Linked DNA regions of Macaca mulatta. The protein of the gene in region 1 purifies or fractionates together with the protein of each later gene. This does not show direct contact. Links are inferred from orthologs where the notes say so. Each region holds a gene or a part of one and is shown in the gene's direction. Other genes may lie near its edges.

Region 1 (3,511 bases):
TATTCCCAAGATGGCAAATTATAATGATAGCAAATTATAATTTTTAATTTCCTTTCTAGGCCTTTCCTAAGTATGTAGTGAGTAAAATCATGGAATTCCACCAGATCTTTAACTTATTTATATATGCATAGTACAAAATGCTGTCAAAAATGTTTGCAGGTGCATTTTCCTCTGTACTATCTCTGGGAGGTAGGGCCTTAGAAGGAATTAAGACACAAAGAGATTTGACCCTTGAAGGAATTGAGATACAATGAGATTTAAATGACCTTCCCTCGACCGTAGTAGTCAGTGATAGATGGATGCATTCCATAACTTGTGTCCCAGTGCTTCTCGTTCTGCGTATGTTCAGAACAGCCTTGGTGAACCACTTCAAATGTGCAGTTATTGATGATGGGACAGTGACCTCTAATGCCGTCACAAACCATTATTCCTATATGCCAAGGATAATTAGTCTTTCAACTTCAACATCATTTCTGCTCTTTAGCCTTTAAAGAGCAATAAAGTGTATTGTGATTTCCAAATTCTCTTTTTCTTCTAGCTGTCTTTGCAGGATTTTGTATAAGGGATTGTTATAGTATAAGGACATACCATCAAAACATGAATGACTTCTCTTTTTTTTTTTGGAGATGGAGTCTTACTGTCACCCAGGCTGGAATACAGTGGTGCAGTCTTGGCTCACTGCAACCTTTGTTTCTCGCGTTCAAGCAGGTCTCCTGCCTCAGCCTCTGGAGTAGCTGGGATTACAGGTGTGTACCATCACGCCCAGCTAATCTTTGTATTTTTAGTAGAGACAGAGTTTCACCATGTTGACCAGGCTGGTCTCGAACTCCTGACCTCACATGATCTGCCCACCTTGGCCTCCCAAAGTGCTGGGATTATGGTGTGAGCCACCACGCCCAGCCATGAATGACTTTTCTAGTGATATATTGTTTCTTTTTTTAGATCAATTTTTATAACCCATATTATATTGGCATACTGTTATAGAACTATGAAGCTTGTTTTGATTTTATTATTTTATAGTTATATTGTGTTGGCTATAAAATCTGCTCTGAATAAAACTGGTCCCAGTTTTAAGTAGCTATTCTACTGCCCTTTTAAAGAGAAGTTAATTTTTTTTAGTGTCTTTTGCGTGTTTAGCAGTGTGCTATGTGCTTGGTTATTTACTTTTATCCTCAAAGCAGTTGAAGAAACCTCTGATAAGTAGCAGAGCTAGTGTGGCTACAAAAGGCCATGTCTTTTCATATCACACTGCCTCTTAAAGTTTTGTCCAGTTATTTCGAATCATTTTAAGATAACTCCTTGCAGCCGAGCGCTGTGAATCAGGCCTATAATCCCAGCACCGTGGGAGGCCGAAGTGGGTGGATTAACTGAGGTCAGGAGTTCAAGACCAGCCTGGCCAACATGGTGAAACCGTCTCTACTAAAAATAAAAAAATTAGCCTGGCCTGGTGGCACATGCCTGTAATCACCGCTGCTTGGGAGGCTGAGGCAGGAGAATTGCTTGAGCCCAGGAGATGGAGGATGCAGTAAGCCGAGATCATGCCACTGTACTCCAGCCTGGCTGACAGAGCAAGACTCGTATCTCAAACAAACAAACAAACAAACAAGAAGATTACTTCCTGCATGAAGTGTTAACTTTCCATCTTTAATGATACGTGTTTTTCTTTTTTTACCTTGTACTTATGGAGACTTTATAACTTGTACCCTTGTTTTTCAAGTAGCTTATGGTTTTAGGAAAAAGTAAAAATTAACTGGTATTTATAAATGAATAATTGGATCTTATTGCCTTTTTATTTTTTCCTGTCTTTTTAATTAGTGTCTTTTTGTGTAAATGCCATTCCATTCTTTGCTGGGTGATAGACATCCAGTACTAGCTCAGAAAGCTCTTCTCTTTGACGTTATTCAGGTGGTGTCTCAGCGAATCAGTACCGTGGATCTCTCGTGTTACAGCCTCGAGGAGGTTCCTGAGCATCTCTTCTATAGTCAAGATATTACCTACCTCAACTTGCGACACAACTTCATGCAGTTAGAAAGACCTGGAGGCCTCGACACACTCTACAAGTATGTGGAGAATGGGTTTCCAGACCTGTTAAAACCAACTCATAATCAGGATCTTATGACTTCTACCTGCTGCCATTGGATGTATATTCTAAAATTTCCCCTCCCTTTTCAAGAGGAAGTAAAAATTTTTATTCATGGAGTTCTCCTACCTGCCCTTTTCCCCCATAAAACAGAAGATTGATGTAAATGTTCTGTGAGCTTCTGTTGATCTGGGTGATCTTTTCATGTAAATCATTGACACTGATGCGTGATCTGCCTCCAAGTTACATCAAGAGATTTCGTATATGGGAAATTTTTGAATTAGAAGTATAAAATTTAAATAACGTAAAGGAGATAGGCCTAATTATAAGAATTTCACTCTGAGAGATGAAGCTGTATCTTCCCTTTGTACCTTCCACTGCCAACTCTTAAGCCTTTAGTCAGCTGTGATGCTTCTCTCTTCTAATACGGGAACCATTTTAGCCCTACAGTACTATGACCTACTTGTTATTCCATCTCCTTTATTAAAATATATACCCCATTCCCACCCTCCACTCATCCCACCTCACTCCTCCACTTAAAAATGGACGCAGTGAATAAATATGTGTTGTAAGTAATTGTCTGGGCTTCTGGAGGAGAAGGTAGAAATAGGAAATTAAAGCATTCAAAGTGATTTAAATTAGATGGTGACTAAAAAGATAATATACATTAAAATTACATATTTTACATCCTTCCTTAATAGCTAATAATTCTAGAGTAATATCCAGAAAATATTGTGTTTTGTTATCTCATCTGATAATTGTTTTAGAAAGTTTTTCAAGTGTAAGCCTCTACTTAGTAATGAGGTAGTTATTTTAATAATATTGGCTTGTAAAAATGAAAACAAGCAGTAATTTTAAGGAAGTTGGTTTCTAGCATTTCTTTGTGAGTTGCTATGAAAAAGAAGTAGTCCAGTTTGAGGGCTGGATCATAAATTCTGAATTTAAAGCACCAAGCCAAAGGAATAATTAGCAGTCACGGTTAGGTCATCTGAAAATCACAAGTTGAAAATTTGACAAAGAGAAGCATTAGAGTGAGGTATCTAGAAGCAGGTGATTCATATGTAGAAGCAATTGCTTGATCATCATCATGGAGAACATCTCAGCCTTACCATCTTGCACTTGTATAATAACAAAACATCCTACTCCCTAGTGGAATTACCAGAGTCTCTCATAAAAAGTTCTTACTAATGAAACCTTTAACATCTTAATTATAATACAATGGATATCAAGAAGAAACCCAAGAGATCCATTTTATAACAATGCCATCTCTGGGTAAGACAATATAGATACTTCTACTTCCATGAACAAAATAGAAGCACTAAAAGTTACTATTTTGTGTATCAGGTCACATAATGGTAAAATGCTGTCACATTCATTATTTTCAAGCTCTAACTGGTTTATTCATTTTATGTGACATTTGAGCCAACATAA
Region 2 (4,204 bases), on another chromosome or scaffold:
TAGAGAGGGAAGCCCCTGGCTGGGGTATCAGGGCTCTCGGCTTCCATGGAGGCAGGCGCTTGGAGAACCAGGCCGGCTACCATGGGATTTAGCTATATTCAATCTGCATTCTCCCCCCAAGCAAGCTTATAATGGAATCACTATGGAAACAGTATTCATGTACCAGAAGTCTATTTTTCACTTAAATTTTGTTTGAATGCTTTGTTTTTGAGTGCTTTGAACCCGTGAGGTGAGGCACTTCTGATTTTACAGCTCTGCCTGAATTCAGATCCTCAATCCCACTGAATTAGGGGAACCCAGAAAAGTACCCCATCACGAGTTCACCCATCGAAGATGCCACAAGCTTTCTAACATAGTAATTTATGAAGTTATTCTACTCACTTGAGCTACTTTCTCAAATAGGAAAAAATAAAGCTGAGCTGCCAGGCATGAAGAACAGGGTGCAAATATGAATTTTAGAAAAGAAGAAAAGAGGAACTACCCATGCCAGTAGCCAGCACTGCCTAAGGATTTCTCACAGGGCATTCTTCTTGCTTGCGGGCTTCTTGTCTCTGGTAATATCATCATCACTGCTGGCTTGAGATCTTCCCTATTTTGCAGCTCAATGTGCAGATATTTAGAAGCCTGTTATAAATTTACGGCCAACAGGCCAGCAGGATTTGCTCCTCTCCTTCCCCCATTACTTATTTCTTCTTAATTCAAAGAGTTAAACGTGTAATTCGTTCTTTGCCTCTTCATTTTTATTTAATTATTTTGTCTTTTTCTAAGTTGTGTTTGACTCCGGTGATTCATCCAATATACGTAAAAAGAAACAAACCAAGTGCTTGGGTAACCCGGGTTATCTTAACTGTCAGAGCAGGTTTCCTCCCACTCCGCGTGTAGTTACCCAGATCATCGCCTCCGTTTTCTGTTTAGGCAGCGGGGGCTCGCCGTCCCCTCGCCCGCGGTGGGTGTCGCAGCTGGTCCCCTCGAGGTTCTCCCAGGTCGCCGCCGCCTCCCTCGCCCCCGCGCCTCCCCGCCGCGCCCCTTCCTACGCGGGGCCTCTAAGCGCCCGGCTCTAGGACCGCAGGGACGCGGGCAGGAGGCGGTGCCCGCCTTCGGTCCTGCCCTCTGCCGCGCGCGGGGTGGGGCCGGGCCGGAGTTCCCCGCCTCGCGCTCGCCGGCCGCGGAGGGGGCGCCGAGGGGTGGGCGGGGCTGCGCCGCCGGGCCGCGCTGCTGCCTGGCAGGCCGGGCATTAGGGCCTCGGCGGAGCCCGCTCCTCTGCGCGCTGGGCGGGGTGGGCGGCGGGCGGCTTCGCGGGCAGGCGCGGGCCCGGAGGCAGCGGCTGCGTCCTGCGCTGGGGCGGAGCCGGGGGCGGGCCGGCGGCCGGCAGGCGGGGGCTGGGGCCCGAGGCCGGGAGTGCCTGAGCGCCGGCGGCGACGACGGCAGCGGCGGCCCAGCGGGTTCGGTGCGTGGGTCCGCGGCGGCTCGGGGTCCGCCCGCGGGCTGCGGTGCGAGCGGGCGGCCCGGCTCTCCTCCTCCCCCGCCCGCCGCCGCCGCTGTGATTGGGTGGAAGATGGCGCTGGCCGGATGGAAATCCTAATGACAGTCTCCAAATTCGCCTCCATCTGTACCATGGTAGGTGCGGCGAGCGGGCGGCAGGGGCAGCCGGGACCTCTCGGACGGGCGGGCGGCGCTGGAGCCGCCTCTCCCGGTGGCTGCCCGCAGGGCCTAGCGCGGGGGCGGGCGGGCGGCCCGGGCGGGGGCGGTTGGACGGCGAGCAGGCGGGGAGCGCGGGGGTGAGCGGCCCAGGCGGCTGGGGAGGGGGCGCCGCCTGGTGGGCCAGGGCGGCGCGAGGGTGGCGGTGAGGGGGCGACTGTGCCGGACGTGGCGTGGGGCGGGCACCGGCCTCCGGGAGCCCCCGGCTGAACTGCTGGGGTGCGCTTGGGGCGCGGGGCCGAGAGCCGAGACGGGCTGGGCCTGTGGCGGGGCGAGGGGTGGGCGCGCGCGAGTCGGAGCGCGGCCCCGGGCCGGGGTCGCCGGCGAGGGGGCGCGGAGCCGCGCGGGCTGCATTTCCTCCTGGTCGCGCGCCGAGCGGGAGGGGTCCCCGGGCGGGGTGGGGGTCGGCGGGCAGGAAGGAAGGGTCTCGGCCGTGGCGGGCAGCGCTCTTTCCCGCCTGGGAGAGGACGGAAGTCAAGTGCAGATTTCCTCGCGCCGCTGGCTGGGCCGAGTCCCCGACCCCGCGCTGGGGGAAAGGGGCGTGTGTGAAGGTGGAAAGTTTAAATAAGTACTGTTGAAATTCTCTCCATTTTCTCCTCTGAGAGGCACATGCTCTCCCGTTTCCAGCCGTGTGTCCAGGTGGCAGTCTTGTCTCTGGGAATGCACGTTAATCTTGAAAAGCAGCATTAGCTTTCCTGTCATTTATTTACTTCAGCCCACCAGACACATCTGTATGTGGCTGGAGCTAGGTGTGTCTGTGCGGGGACCGCCTGCCAAGGCGACCGTATTTGTTTTCCCAGGGCGTTTAAATAGACTGTAAGGGAAAAGTGCTAATGCCCGCTGGAAGTCCCGAATTAAGCAAAACGTGGGCGCGTTTGAAACTTGGTGTTTTGTGCGTGGCCAGAAGGACCACAGTTTTCCACATGATGAGACAAATTCGTTTCATTAGCTCCTCATGAGCTTATATGTAGGGATCATAATTTATGAGTCATCACCGAAAAAAGTTGTTCTTTGCAACGTGGGCCTAGTGGTTGTTATTAAAGACTTCTGAAATCTTGTGCTTCATGTCTCACTGGTCCTATTTATGCAACTGATTTCATATAGGAGATCCCCAAGCAATTTTCCGTCCAAGGGTTGTACATTGTATATATTTTTCTTTAAGGAGTGGTGAATCAGATCTGAAAGATGCTTTAAAAGCAGATTCTCTCCTGCACGCTGAGGAACAGTACAAAAAATGGCTGAAATCAGGTGGACATAAAATCGACAGTATTAAAGAAATCATACTGAAGGATGAATCATTGAAGACTCCATTTCCCAACTGGATGATTGTTCTTTCTCACAGTTTACATTTTAGGAAAGCACTGGTATTAAATGGACTATGTTAAAATGATTTTCGAGGATTGTTTGGGCTAATTATTTTTAGATATGCCAATTATTAGTCAGTTTCAAAAGGAATGCGATAATTAGGTCTTTTACAGTGACAATTTTGCCAGATTGCTGAGCTACACACATTGTATGGGTCATAGTTCGTTGTCAAAGACTAGGATTTCAGGAGTGGTGTGATACTCTTGACCGACTATTCATTCACTCAAGTACTGTATATCAAGTATACATTTAGCAGCTACTAAGTGCTAGAGGCGGGGCTGAGTGCTGGGGATGCAGTATTGGTCAGGGCAGCCCCTGCTTTCATGGTGTTTACATTCTTGCTCATGGACACAAACAGTATTCAAGTAAACAATAAATGTATGCTGTAATCAGATTAGGACAGTGAGACACAGGGATTTGCCAGGGTCACACACTTAGTAAGTGGGATTCTGATCTCAAGGATGTCAAACTCAGAAGCTCTTTCTAGGGCTTCCACCCAGATACGTTAATTACATGTGGGGTGTGTGTGTATTGTTGGCAAATAGTGCCTGGCCAAATGAGATTGTTCCAAAGGTACTATTAAAATTCGGTGTGTCCGTATTCATATTTGAATACATTCGAATGCACCCCCAAACAGTGCTAAATATCTCAGTAGTTTGCAGTCTTATTCTTTAAAGAAAATTGCCATCTGTCCTCTAGAATCACAAAATTGAAAAGCAGAGATACCTCTTTGGCTTTGTAGGTGGTTTTGCTAGGCTTGGAACGCTCCTCCCCGCCACACCCCTTTTCCTTCTCGTCTGGAGAGTGTGTGTAGCTGTCTGTTAAGCAGGGAGCCTCCTTACTTCAATAATCCTACCCCTGTCCAACCCCACCCTCCATCCCCTTCCTACAGTTGAATGGCATTTTTGTAATCTCAGTAGCACCTTATGCTTACTGTGTAGTAAAATTTTCTTTGAACTCTTAATTATGAGGGCCTTGAAGGGGAAGGATTATCATTTACTTCTGCAGTTTGATCTGGAGTACCAAGTTCTGCATTCAGTATAAAAGTTTTCCAGAGTCCTTCCTGTCTGCTCCCGCTATGCCGGGTGAAGCAGGGATGATACGGCTGTGTGTGTATGGAATGTGGAGAGAAGATGGGCTG

What was found. Proteins that work in one complex are often made in the same cells at the same time.
Region 2: the proteins of PHLPP2 (region 1) and USP12 purify together in Homo sapiens (affinity purification with mass spectrometry; 3 studies listed by BioGRID and IntAct, with this or other methods). This does not show direct contact. The link is inferred for Macaca mulatta from reciprocal best matches to the Homo sapiens genes PHLPP2 and USP12.

The regions. Positions count from the first base shown.
Region 1 is NC_133425.1:68,204,020-68,207,530, forward strand, and holds part of PHLPP2 (PH domain leucine-rich repeat-containing protein phosphatase 2), read left to right. Parts: intron 1-1,905; coding exon 1,906-2,060; intron 2,061-3,511. UniProt on the Homo sapiens protein: Protein phosphatase involved in regulation of Akt and PKC signaling.
Region 2 is NC_133422.1:7,255,589-7,259,792, reverse strand, and holds the start of USP12 (ubiquitin carboxyl-terminal hydrolase 12), read left to right. Parts: upstream 1-1,397; 5' UTR 1,398-1,569; coding exon 1,570-1,617; intron 1,618-4,204. UniProt on the Homo sapiens protein: Deubiquitinating enzyme that plays various roles in the regulation of the immune response and inflammation.